Mytilus edulis: one gene and its partners. The protein of the gene in region 1 binds, or shares a complex with, the protein of each later gene. Links are inferred from orthologs where the notes say so. Each region holds a gene or a part of one and is shown in the gene's direction. Other genes may lie near its edges.

Region 1 (7,186 bases):
AGGAGACTTAATTTTAAAACATCACATGAGAAATATTCTCACATGTTTCCTTACCTGTAAAAAAACAATAATTGGTCAATGAAAGAGAAATATTAACTTTTTTCTTGTATGAGGCTGAGAAACTGGCCTTCCACAGTTTTGCGTCGAGTGCAAAAAAAGTTTATATTTTTATTAACTGTTATTTCAGTTACTTTCGTGTCTTCCCTTCCATTATGTGACTCAAGAAAAAATTCCAAAAAATGGGTATTGAAAAGAGAAAATCGAGTGCACATTTTTATGTTAGGGTGCGTTTGAAATGAATATTTTGTCTTAAAAACGTACTAAGCAAGAGTATTTGATACATCATCAGATTCTATCATTTTTATATAGCAAAGCTACAGGTTGACTTTATAACATAAAAAAAATCACAGTACTAAAAGATGAAATATATAGGTCAAGTGAAATACATATGTAACATGTGTAATGAATCACAAAATCAGAGTAGGTGTGTTCGAAAAACTTTTTTTTTTAAATAAAAGTTATAGACGACAGTCTTTTAAGTTGGATGATGACAATGCATATCTTCGAAAAAAAAATTTATCTTCCATTTCTACGATCGATTGTGAGAATGAATCGACGTAATAGGGAGATAATTTTGACGAATGTATCGTATATTTACAGGTAAGGAAACATGTGAGAATAATTGTCATGTGATGTTTTAAAATTTAAGGTCCTTTACCTCAAACATAACGTCCAATTAAATTTAAGTATCATGATGTACACAAGCTGAAACCCCGCCTATCTTAATTGCCATGCTTGAGCAAACATTGATTCAAACAAAGCAAGCAAGCCAAACAAAGATTTGTCTTGCTAGCATTAATGTAAAAGCTGTAATAACAGAGAGCAGTCCCTTTGAACATGTTGAACATGTTGAATATTGTGTATTCAATAATTTTTCAATTGTCAACGTACTAATTTTCATGGATTTGAGGAAAACTCGCATTTTCGTGGATATTTAATTTTGTGGTTTTGCTTAAGGTTGCATACATTACAATAAAAAATGTGTAATTCATTTCACATTTCAAGTTGTGGTTTCTCCAGAGTCATGAGATTCAAAGTGATACTTGATCTGGTATTTTGATCGCAAGCAGCAACCCAAATGACCTATTCAAAAATGGCTGTTGCAGTGCCTATGATATAAACATGGTTTATTTTACATCCTTCATCAAATGTACCCACAGCCAATTTCTAGTACGTTTTTTCTGGTACTGGTTTCTGAAATTTATTATAAACAAACCAAAGCGGCAAGCTACAATTTGTTATATTTCAGGGAAAATTTACTGTAGGACAGTTCAGGGATCTCCATGGATGAAAATTGAACGATGGAGGAACTTTCACCATTACAAACAGTGTCTATGCTGTACAGTGTAGCACGATCGGAAGTATTGTATACCTCCATACAAGGAATGATGAACATGCTAATTCATTGCTTATTTAAATTATATTTATTTGAATTTTCATTATAGAATTAGAAGTACAATGTATCAATATTTTCATTTATTGCCGTTTTTAACCATTCAAATGCCAAGTCTTCATGGTCCCCTTAGTCGAGAATGACCAAAAGCTGTCATGAAGGTCCCCATGTAGATTTCTTGTATTTTTGGTAATTGTTATGGGGGTTAAAAATCATATGATGTGGAGCTTATTTTTCATGGACACTGTCAAATTCATAACCCATTAACGGTATGGCTGATTTGCAGCAACAACAAAACGATTCGTACGGGTTATGTTAAAGGTTAAAGAGATTTGTAAAGCAAACGTTGACAAATGAAAAGGTTTTTAATGACTGTATCTGGCAAATTGATGCTGTGCAACATCCATCTTTCGAGTCTGAATACAAACCGGAAACACGGATGTATCAATATTGATTGTAATATACAAAATGAATTCGGAATTACGATACGATATTTCTTTACAGGAAATATTTAAGTTTTTACTTTTAAACTTTTAAAGTAATTCTAAATTATCGTTACAGCAGTACTTGAGTTAGTTGCAATGAAATAAATATTTACTGTTTTGCGTCTTATTTTGTACTTCTTAAAAAAGGGGGATGCTAATTGCGTAAGTCAAGAAAAAGCATGTGTTTCGACATTTTAAACTGTTTTCTTTGTAACTGTATTATTAATTTATTTATTTAATCTAAATTATCATAATCATCGATCATTTGCTGAAACTTAGTTGATTAATTCGACAAATGGATCGTCTATCCTCAGATAGTATTCTCCTGTCTGATTTGTTGATCTACCTGTACAAGCTCAGGTACAAGTGATTAGCGATCTTAATCCGGATATCCCTCAGGCGTTAGAACTGTATTGGATTATAACATAAAAAGCCTAAGGGTTATGCAATTACATGCATTTGATTATAAATGATAAAAAAAATAGTGTCGGGCTACAAAAAATGATGAAGTTTTGAACGATGGCGGAAGACAATTTAACGATGGCGCGAGTCATTTGACGATGGTGCGAGTCATTTGACGATGGTGCAAGTCATTTGACGATGGCGCAAGACATTTGAAAGATGGGGGGGCAGTGATATTGTTGTCTTTTTTCAAAACTACCTCTACCGTTTTTTATTGGGAAAAACGATATTTTTTATTGAAATTGGGAAATTTGTATATTTTATTCTAAACACATCTCCGATTTTTTACTGACCTTTGCTGTCTTTTTTGCACTTTTTTTTCGTGGATATTTTGGTTGTCAGACATTTTGAACCTGAAAGGTACTTTTCGGAGAGGGGAAAGAAACAGAAGCAATGTTGGTACTTAAATGCATTGAAAACCACTTGTGTTACAAGCACCATATTGATTCTGATCAGAAAACCGGATCTCAAAAGTGCTTTCTAATATCAAAATAATGACATGAATACGATATTTACAAACATTACTATCAATGCCTTCACTGTTTTGGGAAAAAGTTTAACTTTTTGGTAGGAATTTTAAGCCATTTTTTTTAGTGATTGGGAATTTCCTCTAGGGGAAAAAGCCGAATATCGGCTGTAATTTGAGGCAAACAATATCACTGGGGGGGGGGGGGGGGGGGCCATCGTTAAACAGGCCATGGAAATCCCTGGGACTGACATGTCATTCATGACAGTCTTACTGTCAAAGGTCAAAATAAATTTTAGCAAACTCTGGTTCCTTTAATTTGATACCACTATAACCATGAAAATTTGTAATCAAAGTCATACATGTCATCATGGTCATAACAATGAATTCAGTGTACTGTTCATATATATCTTATAATAAAATTTGTTGCAAGTATATAATGCATCTCAGCTGCATCTGTCTCATTTTATTTTTAAAAACCGCCATACATGATATTATTGTTCATGTTGTTAGTTCCGTCTGTACTAAAATCATAATTCCCTAGTGAGATTGGATTTAGCTATGTAAGTATACTCGCTGCATTGTTTCACAGAGGTTCAGGTTAAGACAAAGTGATTAAGAATTATGAACAACATTACAATTGATTGCCCAGCGACAGCATGGAACAGGTGACTGGCCCAAGTGACATTAGTGATGATGCCCTAAAAACGCAAAAATGATGTTCAATATGACAATTAGACCAAAGTTTTGACAGAAATGCAGCCAACTTAAGAGTGGTCTTTCACATCACTGATAACCAATTCAGGACTACACCATTATTTGTGGTTTACTCTTTACAAAAATTTATCTGGATAATTTAACATTCCGACCCTAAGCTGCATTGAATGATTGATTACGAATTGAGCTGTGTATTGAGATATGAAGATGCTTTAAGGGATCAGTATGAAAAGATTGAATGTGTAACTATGAACATATTCTTGAAATGATCAAATCTGTCTACATTTCTTGGATTCGACCTGAAAGATGACAGCAGAAAAACAAAAACAGGTCACTGGCACACCCAAGTTTTATAATAAATTTTGAGTAGTTAAGAAAAATGGCATGATTTTTCACGTGGTTATTCGAACAAATGATTCTTTTGTGATATAGAAACATGCTCACCAGTTGCATTCAAACTTCATGATTGGAAAAATGTAAATATTTACGATACAGCATCATCAATCCGGGAAGTCAAGAAAATGGCGATGAAATCTCGTTAATTATCATGCATTCTCATTATCAACGAGACTTGACATAAATTTGATTGAAGTCCTCATTAAGAAAATATTCCTTTCATTCAATTGATTTCTATAATTTACAAAAACTTTAACAAAACCAGACAATAAATGAAAAAATAAAATTTGATATAAAACTTAATTTCATTTACTGCAGTAAACTTTTTGTTCGATACTGTTGTTTACTCATTTAGTTTCCGGTTAATGCTTTTTGAAACGTTTTTTGCCTAGTTTTACTCTTTCAACGCCAATTATTGAAAATGTCCTAAAATGTTGGCACTCCAACAATATAGCAGTGATGAAGACAATTCAGATCATGAAAACAAAGATCATTTAGAGGATCTCACAGCCCATCTCAGACCAATAAATCAGCAAAATGCTATTTCTTCAACGATTCAGTTGAAAGCAGCACCAGAAATATTTACAAAAGTATGACAACCATATTTTGAAAAGTTTTCCAGATAATCTGTTTCCCAAAATTCTAATTTGTATCCTCTTTTATATTTGAATGAGGTGCTACCTGATGTCAGTTACGAGTACCCGTGAGATTGCTTTCAAGACATGACCGCCATATTTCCATGGTTTTACCCTCCCACACAATATCTGGTATGCAAACCGGAGTTAAAACTAGATTGGATACTTCGGGGGCATTAGTAGGTATCAGGTCCGTTCGCGCCCAATACACTTTCGTATTTGCAGCCTACACATTCGCACCTCTCATGTTCGCTCCGGAAGTACGTTCGCGTAGTCTTTAGAAGTGTCAACTTGACATTATAATCTCTCTGTAATTTCGATCATCCTGGTAATTTTATGTCGCTACTGTATAAAACTCATTTGTATATTTGTTTTTATGATGTGGCACTGCAGAGAAAAACAAATAAATAAATAAATAATTAATTAACTAAAAAAAAGTAAACAAATAAATGAATAAATAATTAACCCTTATAAAACCGTAACTATCTATTTTGTGAACCTTCCAGTATCTTTAATAAAGACCCCTAACAAATGTTGAATATCTTCTATGTGATGTTTGTAATTATCATTTTCTGTTGTTGCTAATAATACTTCTGATTCAAGTGTAAGTTTTGATGTTATGAAGTACATGTAGAGTGCAGAGAGGAGTTTTTCTCTAGCCTTCTCATAATTTTCACAATCCAGTAGATAATGGTCAACTATACCTTCGCACCCATTTTTGTCGAGCCTTCGACTTTAGTCGAAAAAGCGAGACTAAGCGATCCTACATTCCTTCGTCGTCGGCGGCGTCCACAAATGTTCACTCTGTGGTTAAAGTTTTTGAAATTTTAATAACTTTCTTAAACTATACTGAATTTCTACCAAACTTGGACAGAAGCTTGTTTATGATCATAAGAAAGTATCCAGAAGTAAATTTTGTAAAAATAAAATTCTATTTTTTCCGTATTTTACTTATAAATGGACTTAGTTTTTCTGCGAGGTAACATTACATTCACTCTGTGGTTAAAGTTTTTAAAATTTTAATAACTTTCATAAACTATCCTTGATTTGTACCATACTTGGACAGAAGCTTGTTTATGATGATAAGATAGTATCAAGAAGAAAATTTTGTGAAAATAAATTTCCGCTTTTCCGTATTTTACTTATAAATGGACTTAGTTTTTCTGCGAGGAAACATTACATTCACTCTGTGGTTAAAGTTTTTAAAATTTTAATCGCGGTGCGCGGTTTGTTTGTAATTTCCATCAATTTAGCAGATAAACTTTTTACTCTGGTAGATTAATCAATGAGTGATCGATTTCTCTTAGAAGAAATTTAAAGGTCTGAGTGAATAGACTATACAGAGAACAATACCTGTTGTATTTGTTCAATGGGACAATAGAACGGCCAAAAGTTTAAATGGACAGGTAACTATCAGGTGAATCTATTGAAAGGTTCAATTGGGTTCGCAATAATGTAAAAAAAAAATATGACATTCCTTGCATGTGTTACTGAGCAAGTGTCGCCTTGGGCCAGAGTAACAAAATAGGATTCAGATTTATAAACAATTAAACAAACATTTAATTTCAATTGTTCACTTATTAAATTTATCCATCTTATTGTAATAATAACAATTTGTATAACCAAAAATAAAGATAATTGTTTTTAACAGCTTGGCTCCTTTGAACTCATGTAAAAAAAATATTCATAGCAATACACTAACCAAAACATGATTAAGATTTTATCAACACAAGAATGAAAAAAAAACGTTGTCAGAATCTCACTTTACTTAGAAACAATGAAAAAAATATATTTATATAGAGCAGTACACTTGCAGTTTCACTGATTAGCAACAAGAAGAATTTTAGCGACAAGAAGCAACAAGAAGAATTTTAGCGACAAGAAGCAACAAGAAGCTATTTAACGACACAAAAACATTTTTTTATTAAAATTATTTATTCCAAATAAATATTAAAAGAATATGCAAAAGAAAAAATTTTTAGCAACAAGAAAGTTAATATTGATAGAAAAAAAATTGAAACATAGATCTAATTGCTACATTTATTTATATGATTTTTATTATCTATTATGTACAACAGCAAGTATTACGTATTATGATATTACTTTTACTTGTGTTTTAGAACAATAATATACAGATATATTTATCTTATAATTTGTTTTTTAAAACTTTCTTTGTATAATATATAATAAACTTGCGAAATGCATTATTTGTACATCATTGTCCTGAAAGTACAGGCAAAAATTGTGAAATACAAAGGACTGAAATCAAACAAGAGGGAAACAAAAATAAAAATGTGAATATTTTTCACATTATTTTAGTTTGTGTATTTCCTCATTTAACGATATCTTTTATTAAATAGGTCATCAATTTATATCTGCCCGTGTATTAAAAAAAATTTATAAATGCATATTTCTTAATATTTAATAAAAAAAAAAAAAATGCTTTCTTGTCGCTAAATAGTCTTCTTGTCGCTTCTTGTCGCTAAAATTATTCTTCTTGTCGCTTCTTGACGCTTCTTGTCGTTAATTAGTGAGACCCGTACACTTGCCTAAACATGATTAAGACTTATTC
Region 2 (7,384 bases), on another chromosome or scaffold:
CTACAGAGCTAGAAATAATTATCTGGCAGTAATATGTAATTGCCTTTCAAACACATGTTGATTTTATAAATAAATATTTTAGAAAAGTGTCTTAAAGTTGTAACTATAAACTGGCTTTAACATCTGGCATTTATAGTCAAAACAAATAAATTATGCCTACTCAGTGTATTTGATAAAGAAGTTTAAATTGTATTCTTAATTGGTGATGATGGGATACATTTTAGATCATTTTATAAATTTGACACCTGTCTGATGAAACAAGAATGTGGTACTAGTACATAGATGCCCCACTCACACTATCATTATCTATGTTCATTGTTGAATTGAAAGTGAGATTGGGGTCAAAACTCTAGTTAAACTGTTTGGCATTAAAATTAGAAAGATCACATCATAGAAAAATAAGTACTACTTATCAAGTTGATTGGACTTAAAACTTTATCAAAAACTACCTTCACCAAAAACTTTAACCTAAAGCAGGACAGTTGAATTAACAAATGAACAGAAGGGCAGACAAACAGATGCACAGACCAAAAATCATAATGCCCCTAGGAGGGGCATACAAAATGTTTATATTCAATTCACCAAAATGAACAAATTTTCAGAAATGACTTTTATGCATTAACAACTTATCATGGATGCTGAATTCCTGATGCAGCTATACATGTGGGTTAGAGTCATTAATAATCATGATGATAAATATGAAAAAAAACATTTATATCCTAAAACAGGACAAGCTAAACCAGGTGCTCCGCAGGGTGCAGCTTTATACGACCGCAGAGGTCGAACCCTGAACAGTTGGGGCAAGTATGGACAAAACATTCAAGCGTGATACAGCTCTGAATTTGGATTGTGATCAAAATTTTGACAATACATGTTTTTTTTTTACACAAAACAAATGTCAAGATTTTACAAATCAATTAAAGATTTCTTCTTCAAACTTTTTAAATCTAAAATTAAATAGTTGACACAGCATAGGTTTCTGACACAGAATGAATGTGGTCTAATGAACTTAAAAGGTTTTTTTTTGCCTTTGAGCAATTCACTATGCTGTTGAATATTAATCCTCTCAAAAAAATGATTGAAGAAATTTTCTTTTTATTTATGAAATCCGAAATGAGAAAAATTTACCCCCCCCCCCCTTTTTTTTCACATCCCTGTTTCCCTTTTTCCAAAACTGATATCAATTCAAATTTCTAATGGAGTTTGCAACAATAACTACTCTTTTAAATACATCATAAAATATTAAAATGTAAAATAAAGTGCTTGTTATCACTAAATGGTAAAGATTGGTTGGTAGTAAAAGTGAATATACATTGTTTATTGTATAAAAAAATAAAAAAAACTTCATCAGAAACATTTTATATTGGCAAATTTCCAATGAAGTTATTTACATAAAGTTATTGGCAAATAAAAATAGAAAATGACATCATAGTCATGTCTGGCAAATGTCCAACATACACTATCTAAAAACATTTTAGATAAGATAAGGAAAAAAAGCTTCATCAGCAACATTTTATATTGGCAAATTTCCAATGAAGTTATTTACATAAAGTTATTGGCAAATAAAAATAGAAAATGACATCATAGTCATGTCTGGCAAATTTCCAACATATATTATCAACTACTATTCTATACAAAGAAAGATAACTCCAATTGAAAATTAATTGCTATTGCACAATATTGTGCAATTAGATATTTCTTGCTATTGTGCAATACTGTGCAATTGAAAATATCTTGCTATTGCACAATACTTGATATGGAATCCTGATTTGGACCAACTTGAAAACTGGGCCCATAATCAAAAATCAAAGTACATATTTAGATAAAGCATATCAAATAAGCCCAAGAATTTAATTTTTGTTGAAATCAAACTTAGTTTATTTTGGACCCTTTGGACCTTAATGTAGACCAATTTGAAAACTGGACCAAAAATTAAGAATCTACATACACAGTTAGATTTGGCATATCAAAGAACCCATTTATTCAATTTTTGATGAAATCAAACAAAGTTTAATTTTGGACCCCGATTTGGACCAACTTGAAAACTAGGCCAATAATTAAAAATCTAAGTACATTTTTAAATTCAGCATATCAAAGAACCCCAAGGATTCAATTTTTGTTAAAATCAAACTAAGTTTAATTTTGGACCCTTTGGACCTTAATGTAGACCAATTTGAAAACGGGACCAAAAATTAAGAATCTACATATATAGTTAGATTCGGCATATCAAAGAACCCCAATTATTCAATTTTTGATGAAATCACACAAAGTTCAATTTTGGACCCTTTGGGCCCCGTATTCCAAAACTCCCAAAATCAAACCCAACCTTCCTTTTATGGTCATAAACCTTGTGTTTAAATTTCATAGATTTCTATTTACTTATACTAAAGTTATTGTGTGCGAAAACCAAGAATAATGCTTATTTGGGCCCCTTTTTGGCCCCTAATTCATAAACTGTTGTGACCTCAACTCCAAAAATCAATCCCAACCTTCCTTTTGTGGTCATAAACCTTGTGTTAAAATTTCATTGATTTCTATTCACTTTTACTAAGGTTAGAGTGCGAAAACTAAAAGTATTCGGACGACGACGACGACGCAGACGACGACGCCAACGTGATAGCAATATACGACCAAAAAATTAAAATTTTTGCGGTCGTATAAAAACATAACTGGAATAGTGCTAAAAGACAACATTAACACACTATAATTTTTACAACATCAAGGAAAAGTACCTCATGATTGGACCTGTTTTCAAAAAAGGAGACAAGCATCATCCTGGTAACTATAGACCAATCTCATTATAAACTTGTATTTCTTGCAAATTATTAGAGCACATATATATATACTATTACTAACTTGCAGGCAACATCATGAAACGTCTTGAACACAGCTTCAGGACAAATAGATCTTTCTAATTCCAAATAACTTCACTAATTCACCAGCTGTCATCAATGTTTTTCAGATTTGGAAATTTTTTGAAATATAAATTTTGTGATTAGATTTTATTTTTGGTGTTTGAAGGCAACTTTCACGCACTGCTTTTGGGCTACTTCTTGGTGGCCAGTTTTTATTGGTGGAGGAAGCCGGGTCCGGAGTGTCCAGAGAAAACTGTTGATCTTTGATAGGAAAACTGACAATCCTAGTCAATTAAAATTGGAGTTGAGTGCACCTGCACAAGCAGGGTTCAAACTCACAACCTCAGCATTAACTGGCTAGTGAATACAGTAGTATCTACTTAGACCACTCGGCCACTGATCATGAGGCCCCAATAAATTTTGTGATAATTCAAATCGTGGAGAGCTATATATTCTAAAACAAAATGAAGCTTATTTTCTATGAAATTAAGCGTTGACAGAGCCTTTATATCTAAACTTACAACTCCATTGACCTCTGGGCAGACCAGAGGTAAAAACTAATTCTACCAAGAAAAGGCTACAGCAGACACCTTTGGCCAATCATTCTTCCTTACTCCTAAGGACCATCAGGGACTGGAACTAAAATGCCAACAACAGCCAACTTGCCTGAGATAACTCTGATGCCCAAGTTCTTTTTTGCCAGACAAGCTGGGGCCCTGGGACACGGCCCGGGTCCTGTCTGGAAAAACAGCTGTTGGATATCAGAGTAATCTCAGACTACAGCCGACACAGTTGAAGGATTCAGAGCTGCCCTGAAGGCATGTTTTGCTACAATCATGAATCTAGACAGTAATATCATGTAGGTAATTTTTATTATTATTAAAAAAAACCCCAGCTTTATTTAGAGTCGGCATAGTATACAAACGAGTACATAACACGAGCTCTAATGAGATTTAACCTACATAACCGTTTTAATTGTAAATACATATACATTTAGAGACTCTCTATATGTATTTACAATTAAAACTGAGACTCTTTAACAGCCAAGAGAAAACTTTTTGTGGTGTCTGACACTAGGCATCGTTTCCGCTGGAATAAATACATTCAACTATTGAATTTGGTTCTTCACTGAAAGAAGAAGAAGTTAAAGTGATGGAGTTATCTGTACAGACTTCATTAAATTTATAAAAATAACTTCTTCTTTTTCCATAAATTTTCTGTTCAGTCTTCAGTTCAGACCACCATCTGGTGTATTTTCGAACGAATTCGTTTCAAAATAAAATATAGAAATACGTCATTTGTTTACTTTACAGTATATTTGTAAATTTATAAGAAATGATCAGCAAATTGATCCAAAAAGAATACTTTTCTTTGGTTCTTCAGTTCCTCTGTGTGTGTAATTTTCTCAAAATAAACAAAGCTGGGTCATATTTGTTCTTGAAAACTAGGTCATTATTACTGCTACAATCAAACATTTTAGTGATTTTAAACAACTGGTACAAACTTTTGTTCTGTTTTAGGTAGTGTTGTACTATACTTCGCAACATCAGGGGACCAGATTTCACTAAAAGAAAAGAAATGGCGACATCGAAGGGTGCAAATACGTACAATCGACAAAACTGGGAAGATTCTGTATGTTTTAAAGACTATTTCACTGCATATTACCTTTACATGTGACAAACAACCTCTATGGAAAAGTTTATTTGTTCCAAACTTTTATTTGGCACATTCTGCAAGAATGAAAAATATGAATAGCAAATATTATCCAGAAAAGTTTGTAATTTTCTGAAACATAAAATGCATTTAAAATCTAATTATCATGTTCCTGTCATCCCTGAAAAATTTTGCAGGGGTTTAGGTGTGTCTGTACTCAGAGTAAAATTTGTGGTGTAAATATGGCCGTTAGGTGAACCTTAATATCTGTAGATGGTAGAAAAAGTAGTTTACAGAAAAAGTATGGAGCATCTTTTTACCACAGAACACCGCATAATACCACAGAACACTCTAACTAGGTGTCAAAACTTTTAAATGACATGTTTCTTTGCTTAATTGGTGTTTACGGAAAGTGTCAAAATGGGTTAATCTAATTAAATTTTGGTACTTTAATTGGGTTGGTGAACATGCTATGGTCAACATTTTTGGACTCAAAATACAGAATCTATATGTTAATGCTCCATATACATATACGATCTCTTAATACATACAAAATTTGGCAGAAATCGGAAATATTGTCAAATGCACACAACATAAGAATCCAAAAACAGTCATCGAACTTGAACTTTTTGACAATTAAAAAGAGACACTTATAATATGGTATTAGTCAACTCAACATGCTCAAAGATTCAGATATCTTTTTGGAAGTATTTGATAGCTCTTAGCACTGTATTGTTTTATGTATCATTTATATACCAGGGCTCACATTACTTCAGAATTATAGGGAGAAGTGACTTCTCTTTTTGAAACTGATAGGGAGAAGTGGTGAGATTTGAAAGAGAAGTGCTCATTCGCGCGGTGCGCTACAATGTTTGGATTTTACAATAGTATAAAGGGCCACATGTAAATAATGTTCTTTTTATGTTGTTCAATTCATGAGTAAAAAATTACAATTAAAGTAACATTTGAAATTAAAAGTTGTTTAAGTTTTACTAAGGTTCTTGTGAGAAACTACCAACTAAATATCTAGCACTAAAAAAAAAATTATTTTAAAAAATGTAAAGAAATTATAATATATCAATTACAATTTAATTAAAAATTATCTTGTGTATGAAATTCAGTGTTTCTCATAAAAAAATATAAAAGTTATTAAGCTGGACTATAATATATTGATATTAGTAGAATAGTCTCAGAGTTAAGCAACTTTAATCAATAGTTTGAAACAATCCATAAAAAATATAGGGACTTATATACACCAATCAATTAGATGTAACCAAAAGTCTCTTAATGACTGTGGAATGCGTAATTTTTCCCTTTGGGATCAATATTCTTCTGTCAGCTGTTCCATCCGTGCGTCCGTAGTAATTATTGTAAAAGTACGGATTTCTGTCATAGCTGGTCCGGTTCAGATCCGTAGTTTAGAAATCGGTCAATGGCGGACGAATGCAAGAAAATTTACAAAAATAAACGATGTTTGACAAGTTATTTGGAAAGGAACATGACGGTTTTAATGCAATAAATGGATCAAACATTTACTGGAGGCAACTTTTATCACGTTTAAATGAAGTAACAAACTTATTTTGCCGCCGAAATTTAGGTTGATGTACGTTTTCGAGTAACAAGCACCGGGACTTGCGGAAATGCACGAAGTGATAAAAAGTTGTATTTTTATCAAATAACCGGCTACACACTGCGAAGACAATGCTTCAACATCTTTTCTAAAGATAATGAATCGTTTATGTCTGAATTTCTTTAATTATCAGTAAAAAATTGATGTTTCATCAACTTGGTAAAAATTGAAAATGTCTGATGACGGAAGCGACTGAAAGCGACTATCGTCAAGAACAGGGCGACTTGTTTTCGCTTTTGGTGGTCGGGGAAAGCGAAGTGACGGTCGGGAAGGCGACTTCTTCGCCCAAGTCGCCTGGTAGCGTGAGCCCTGTATAATACATGATCAGTCAGGGGACTTACTGAAATAAGTGATTTTTAAATCACTCATTTGAGTAGCAAATTCGAAGTTTTGTCACAAATTGTAATATTGTAGTTTTACCAAAATATTAAACACAAAGGTTTAAAAAATATCTTTCCATTAGTAAAATTGAAAAAAATGATTTTTAACCTTCTTTTAAGTATCAAGATTTATGCCTTTGATGCTATCATTTAGCTGCAAATTCTATTTTAGTTGAAAAAATGCTATAATAATGGCTTTACATAATGAACTGATACTTTCTTAACAGATTTTTCCCAGCAGTGGAAGTATTTTTCCTGTAAAGTTCAAGGTTTTATCTTTTAGATTATGTAATAAAATTCTACTGTTCGCGATAAAAATTTCACTGTTCGGGGGTGTTGAAATTAGTGGGGGTTATTAAAATAATGATACTCAAAGGAGTGATTTTTGGGAAGGAAATTGAGGTATGATACTTAACCAAGTGATTTTTATGTCATTATCCTAGATTCAGTACAAGGTCATCACCTGAAATGACCTGGTCATCCTAAACAACACAGATGTTAACGTTGGTTCTGATAAGTTTAGAAACATAATTAGTCCCTGGATCATTAGTATTCTATATTTAAAGCTACAGTTAAATTAAATCACTTCTTCTAGTGATTATTTTGTACTACTTAAATAGGTGATTATTAAAGAAAGACAACTCTTACTTTCAACCTTTATGGAAATAATGTTACTTGAATCAGTGATTTAAAAAATCACTCATTTAAGTAAGTCCACTGATATATACATATAATTAATAAAAAAAAAGTGTAAAAAAATACCAACCGAATAACAAAATGAACTTACTTGTAACAAATAACTACGAAAATGCATGTCTTAATATTTTCAAAAATGAATTAAAAATTAAAAAAAGATAAAGATGTAT
Region 3 (7,355 bases), on another chromosome or scaffold:
TAATGCATGTCATAATTTCATAATTTACAGTACTTCAGGATGCAATGCCATTAACTTCATTGAGGTCCAATGCAAATCATAGTCCCTTGCAGCAACTTGGTGAAGGTTATAGATATACCCAGTCTCCTTCCATCTATCAGTTTGACATGTCTTCTAAGAGATCTCACACAAATGATTCCTGCTAGAGTTTTATGAAATTTATACCAAAGGTTTATATTGGCAATGTCTTGCACAAAATTTCAAATGCAGAATTGATAAATTATTGTTGCTTTAAATATATCCCTAATGCATTTTGATTGCTCCCAAGTCTACATTCTTGCTAGATTTTTATGGAGCCTTCGACTTTTGTCGAAAAAGCGAGACCTAGCGATCCTACATTCCGGCAGCAGCACCGTTCACAAATATTCAATCGATGGTTAAAGTTTTTGAAATTTTGATAACTTTCTAAAACTATCCTAGATTTCTACTAAACTTGGACAGAAGCTTGCTTATGATCATAAGATAGTATCCAGAAGTAAATTTTGTTAAAAAGAATCCTATTTTTCCATATTTTATTTTATTTATAAATGGACTTATCTCTGTGGTTAAAAGTTTTTAAAACATTTATTAAATTTATAAACTATCCAGGATTTTTACCAAACTTGGACAGAAGCTTCTTACAATCAAAAGATAGTATCTAGATGAACATTTCATCCTCATTTTTGTTGAGCCTGCGACTAACAGCAGAAGTAGTCAAGACACTGGGTTCCGCTGAACCCTTACAAATTTTTATGAAATTGACACAGAAACTTTATATCAGTTATGTCTTTAATGAGATGAAAATCTTTGCTGATCAACTTTTTTTACAGGAATTATGTCACTTTGAATTTTATTGTATATATAAATCCTAACAATGATTTTGAATTAACAGTAATTGAGTCCCTGTGAAGTAGTATTGGATAGTTGTGGTGGTTGTTAACTTTTCAAGTATATTTGATACAATTATTGTCTTCATGACATGGAAATCATTTATACTGTTATAATCCTGGGAGTGATTGTATACAGAGTAATTCTAATAGGAAAATCATGGTCATTTAATTTGTTATACTTTTCGGTGTGATGTAATAATGTAAAATGAGTAATTGATATTACACCTCAAAGGTGATGTAACATTGATAATAGGAAACTCATTGAGTGTGTCAGTGACATTGTCATAGTATTATATGTGTTATATCATTGACATTGTCATAGTATTATATGTGTTTTATCATTGACATTGTCATGGTGTGTCAGTGACATTGTCATAGTATTATATGTGTTATATCATTGACATTGTCATGGTGTGATGTGACATTGTAATATTAATGACATTGTTATACTTATGGGTGTGATTGTCATAGAATAAGAATTTTATTAGTATAAAATCCAAACAATAGGATTGTTACTAAAATACAAAAAAATGTGACATTGTAATATTAATAATTGTGTTTGTTAGTATAAATACAGTAATTATTGTATTTAACCTTTGACATTGTAGGTTACATGTATGAATGTGATAGAAATGACAATGTTATTGTTATGAATGAGTGTAGGGCAACAGATATTTTTTGTTGGAAGCATATTTTGTTGGCGTAAGCAATCATTTTTTTTATGGTATCTTGTTATGAATGATTTGGTGTGATTGTTATGATATTCTGTGATAGATCTATGAACTTTAGGGGCAGAATATTAAATGTGGGATCCTTCTGACGTAATTAAATATTTGTCTGACTTAATAAAAATATTTATTTATATAAAGATGTGTCTATTTCAGTTCCTTCAGAATTATTAAGTGACGGTATGGTAGTCATTTTCAGTATTATTAATTGACGGTATGGTAGTCATTTTCAGTATTATTAATTGACGGTATGGTAGTCATTTTCAGTATTATTAATTGACGGTATGGTAGTCATTTTCAGTTTTATTAATTGACGGTATGGTAGTCATTTTCAGTATTATTAATTGACGGTATGGTAGTCATTTTCAGTATTATTAATTGACGGTATGGTAGTCATTTTCAGTATTATTAATTGATTTCAGTATTATTAATTGACGGTATGGTAGTCATTTTCAGTATTATAAATTGACAGTATGGATGTCAGTTTCAGTATTATTAATTGACGGTATGGTAGTCATTTTCAGTATTATTAATTGACGGTATGGTAGTCATTTTCAGTATTATTAATTGACGGTATGGTAGTCATTTTCAGTATTATTAATTGACGGTATGGTAGTCATTTTCAGTATTATAAAGTGACGGTATGGTAGTCATTTTCAGTATTATTAATTGATGGTATGGTAGTCATTTTCAGTATTATTAAGTGACGGTATGGTTGTCATTTTCAGTATTATTAATTGACGGTATGGTAGTCATTTTCAGTATTATTAATTGACGGTATGGTAGTCATTTTCAGTATTAATAATGGACGTTATGGTAGTCATTTTCAGTATTAATAATGGACGGTATGATAGTCACTTTTAGTATTAATAATTGACGGTATGGTAGTCAATTTCAGTATTATTAATTGACGGTATGGTAGTCATTTTCAGTATTATTAATTGACGGTATGGTAGTCATTTTCAGTATTAATAATTGACGGTATGGTAGTCATTTTCAGTATTATTAATTGACGGTATGGTAGTCATTTTCAGTATTATTAATTGACGGTATGGTAGTCATTTTCAGTATTATTAATTGACGGTATGGTAGTCATTTTCAGTATTATTAATTGACGGTATGGATGTCATTTTTAGTATTAATAATTGACGGTATGGTAGTCATTTTCAGTATTATTAATTGACGGTTTGGTAGTCAGTTTCAGTATTATTTATTTACGGTATGGATGTCAGTTTCAGTATTATTAGTTGATAGTATTGGCCTTCTAAAGTTCCATGTCAAATATCACAGTCCTGAATAACTGGGTATAGATTATGACAACAGTACTTACTTGAAATGTTTTGCCTCCTTTTCTGATCATGATTTAATTTATGTTTAAAGACTCAAACAGATTGGGTTTATGTAAATGACAAGGTAAGATCAGATGAAACCCTGCCAGACATGTGAACAATTCAATCATTTCATGGGACCTCAGTGGTCAAGTGGTCTAAATTGTTACCACAGTAATCACTAGCCAGTCAACTCTAATGTGAGTTTGAACCTTGCTCGTGCAGGTGGACTTGACTCCAATCTTAATTGACAAGAATTGCAGTTTTCCTATCCAAAGTCTGTGGATTTCTATGCTTCATCCACCAATAAAAACTGACCACCACCAAATAGCCCAAAAGAAATGTGTTAAAACACCAAAATCAATATCAATCAATCATTTCATACATTAAATAAAGTCAGCCTAGGTATATTAGTTATATGTAGTATCTAAAAAAACAGACAACCAGAAAAAACTTATCATTGATCTATCATGGGTGATGAAAATTAGAAATATGTCAGATGAACCCTGCCGAACAGCTTTTATACCATGCAATAAAAAAATAGCTGACGTACTGCATAAACTATCTAATATTCAAAACACAATAAAAGAGGGACGAAAGATACCAGAGAGACATTCAAACCCATAAATCAAAATTATACTTCACAATTCCATGGCTAAAAAGAAAAAGATATACAGACAAACACAATGGTACATAAAACACACAACATAGAAAATTAAAGACTTAAGCAACATGAACCCCACCAAAAACTGATGTAATCTCAGGTGTTCTGGAAGGGTAACAGTATTTACTTTTCGGTTTTGTTGATCACAAATTGTACAGCACCTGCACTTGATGACACAGCATCAGCGTGATGCTATTTTTCCGTTGCTGATTAACGAAAGAAGAAGCAGATCCTGCTCCACATGTGTCGCCCATTGTGTCGTTCATGTTAGTACAAACCCTGTAACAAGTCCTACTTGTTAGGAAAATTTTGTGAAAAAGGGAAAAGATTGTAGTTACGACATATGGGACACATCTGCAATCATACATCTGTGAAACTTATATTCCATAAAGGTCAACCAACTCCTGATGGCATCCGTAAATTTAAGAATGGAATGATTTCGTCTTAAAGTAAAATAGTAAAAAAAAATTGAATGTGCATATTTTGGTTGTTACTATTCATTGTGTTCAAATGAAGTAAATAGCACCCATCATCATAATTATTGTCTGATTTAACGGTCGTAATAGTCAAAGCTTATTATAGTCCGATTGTATGGGTTGGGCCGAATTTGTTATAGGCCGAGTTTGTTATGGCCCGAGATAGCAGAAATATTAAGTTATCTCCCCTTAGTATACAATGGCTGGAGAAGTTGTTGTCGATGCCTTACCTTATTTTGACCAAGGATATGACGAACCAGGTGTTCGAGAAGCCGTAAGTTTAATCAAAGATAATACAAATTAAATACAAATTACTGTTTATTCATTCATGACCCACTTATAATGGCCTCTCAAGTTAAAACTTCATACACGTGAGAAGTCGCAATTATTTATGCAGTAAAAAAAATATATATATAATTATATAAATATATTTTGCTAAGGAAGTAATTTAATTCTATAGCTTACTCGGTATATGCTCTGCCTGGAACTGATACAGTTGAACTGCCTTGTATTTGTAACACAGATGTCCCAGTGGGAGTCGAGACGAGCAATTTTGTAATGAATTGTATACTCTCTAGATCTGCACACAGGCACTCGTCTCAGAAATTTTTTTTCGGAGATGAGTGCCTGTGTCTCTGCAGACCGAGTTACATTAGCGCCCAACTAAAAAAACCCACAGTGGTAAGAGAAGAATTCTATCTAGGGTACATTTGTATATGTGTTAGAGTTATAATGGTATTATGACTAGACTTTCTGGAGGTGGGGGAAGGGTGATATGGTAGATCCTTAGTCAGCCGTAAGCAGTTGAACTAAGAAAGTACTTCATTAGCTCAGTCAATATACATGCTGTCTGGTAACATAAAGTGTGACATGTGAAAGTCAAATTATTGTGCTTTGAAAACGGGAAATGAATTCTAGTGGGTCACAGGAAATAACCAAAAAATAAGAATTGCTTACGTACATAGTGTATTAAAGCGGGATACGGGAATCTGACTAATACAGCCCCCGTTAAAGGCTACTTTCTTTATTTTGTTTTGACGCCTTTTTATATTTGATGATTTGATACTTAAAATCGATAAAGGAATAATTTAAAAGATAACAGAAAAACAAACTTCCTTGATTAGAATCCTTGGACATTTCAATATAAAAATCACAATTTTTCTTAAGGAATTAAGTCTAGGCTTAAATTTTGTGCCTCATTTTTATGTGTTGTATAATTTAATTTTAGGCTCTTGCTTTGGTTGATGAAGAAACCAGAAGATACAGACCTACAAAGAATTATCTAGAATACTTACCTGCTCCTAACTATCTACAGTTCGAGGTAATTACAAAAATATATTTAGAAATTTTACCTGCTCTAAAAATGTATTTAGTTTGAGGTATGAATTGGGGGGGGGGGGGGGGGGAGTAAATAATATAATTTAAATCCTGACATCCTGAAACACCCGATCCCGGAGTCCCGATTAAGGTCCTATCCCCCTTCATGAATGAATACATTATTTGCATTAAATATTCATGCTGTGGCAAATAATGATGTATACAGTAGACATGGTAGATTAAACTTAAATTTTTTTATTTGGTAATTTTTCATTTAAAGCTACATGACTGAAAAAAAATTTGAAGTTGAGTAGAATGAAAACCCTCTGGTACCATAAGCATGTGTCAATGACATTGCCTATGAAAATACAGATTATCAGATTTATAGCTTACAACGCAGTATTTGCTTTACTCATTGTTGAAGTCCGTAAGCTGACCCATAGTTGTAAATTTCTGTGTCATTTAGTCTTTTGTGGAGAGTTGTCTCATTGGCAATCATAGTCATACCACATCTTTTTTTATATCTATATAGCTATGGTCCTCCAACTCAAAGGAAGTCTTTTTAGCCATTCTTTGAGATTGTAGCCGAGAAGCATCCTATTTATTTTTAAAATTTAGATAATCTATTGTAAAGTCTAAAGAACATTGCAAACAAACATATACAAAAATGAACAGAAGTAATATGTTATACAATACTATTTCAAGAATATATATGATACAATTTTCTAAGCGGCTTTTAAATAAATACATAGTTTTACTGTCAGATTAACAATGCGAGTGGCTCAGTGCAATGAATCAACATAATTTTACTTTGGCCATGAATAGTAATATTTAGGTAAATTTTTTATTAGAAAAGATCTATTTCATTGTATTTGGTGGACAAGGTAAAACACGATGATATTCATCTCCAACATTCATATTGCAATAAATGTTCAAAGAAATAAAAGCCACTCTTACAGCCTACATGAGTGCAGTATTTGTGAAAGGAACATGACATAGAGATACAATGGTTATTTTTGATAGGCAGTTACGTTGTAAATCATTCATGTTTTTTCAAGCGAAAATTTTGTTTTCAGTCACTTTATAAAAATGCTTTATTTGTTGTTTTTTCAGACAGAGATAATGAAAACAGAGTATGAAAGAATGCAGTCACGGTTACCTATGGATATGTTGAACATGAAAAGGTTTACATTTTGTTTTAATCAAAATTACATTTAATGTATATTAAAAAAGAAATATTTAGAATATCCACAAGAAATGTTGATGTCTTTCAGACTTTGTAAATGTTATGAGTTAAATTGACACTAGCGGTTCAATACACACACTACAGACTCAAATGATTAGGTTTAAACCAACATCTTCATGCAGTATTCTTTTAAACCCCTTTTATATTTTGACAGGTTCAGTTCAGTTTCTTGTATATTCCTCCATTAATTGTGGAGCACTACCCAAAGGGTATAGTTTTAGCAACTACATTGTATGTACACCTTAAAACATAAGGAAACAATTAATTATATACAGATGACTGAATTTGGTTATAATAATCACTAAATGATAAATATCATAATTAATTCATAGGATTGTCATCATAAAGTTTTAAAAGATATATAAGATATATAATAATTCAAATGTGCTGGGTTGTAAGAAAATATTAAGAAACAACTGCATATATTTACAAATAAAAATTAAAATGGTCTCAAATTAAAATTACTTATAATTATTAGTTGAAAGTGCTATACATACATCGGGAACTATAATGAAAATTTTATTTTATAAGACTTATGTAAAATGGTTGGGGTTTGGAAAAAATTAAGCTATAATATATACATAACTTTTCTTCACAGTTTAATTTACTATACATCTATATGGAGATCTTGTCATTATTCTTTAAATTATAACTGATATCTTACAATTTTAAAAAGAGAAGATTTATT

What was found.
Region 2: pre-mRNA-processing factor 17-like (region 1) and pre-mRNA-splicing factor RBM22-like share a complex: the UniProt entries of both Homo sapiens proteins name them as parts of the postcatalytic spliceosome P complex. The link is inferred for Mytilus edulis from reciprocal best matches to the Homo sapiens genes CDC40 and RBM22.
Region 3: pre-mRNA-processing factor 17-like (region 1) and pre-mRNA-splicing factor SPF27-like share a complex: the UniProt entries of both Homo sapiens proteins name them as parts of the postcatalytic spliceosome P complex. The link is inferred for Mytilus edulis from reciprocal best matches to the Homo sapiens genes CDC40 and BCAS2.

Annotation. Positions count from the first base shown.
Region 1 is NC_092353.1:60,952,835-60,960,020, reverse strand, and holds the start of pre-mRNA-processing factor 17-like, read left to right. Parts: upstream 1-4,126; 5' UTR 4,127-4,410; coding exon 4,411-4,569; intron 4,570-7,186. UniProt on the Homo sapiens protein: Required for pre-mRNA splicing as component of the activated spliceosome. Plays an important role in embryonic brain development; this function does not require proline isomerization.
Region 2 is NC_092352.1:86,310,873-86,318,256, forward strand, and holds the start of pre-mRNA-splicing factor RBM22-like, read left to right. Parts: upstream 1-4,365; 5' UTR 4,366-4,433; coding exon 4,434-4,487; intron 4,488-7,384. UniProt on the Homo sapiens protein: Required for pre-mRNA splicing as component of the activated spliceosome. Involved in the first step of pre-mRNA splicing.
Region 3 is NC_092356.1:71,254,448-71,261,802, forward strand, and holds the start of pre-mRNA-splicing factor SPF27-like, read left to right. Parts: upstream 1-4,239; 5' UTR 4,240-4,303; coding exon 4,304-4,378; intron 4,379-5,332; coding exon 5,333-5,425; intron 5,426-6,534; coding exon 6,535-6,605; intron 6,606-7,355. UniProt on the Homo sapiens protein: Required for pre-mRNA splicing as component of the activated spliceosome. Component of the PRP19-CDC5L complex that forms an integral part of the spliceosome and is required for activating pre-mRNA splicing.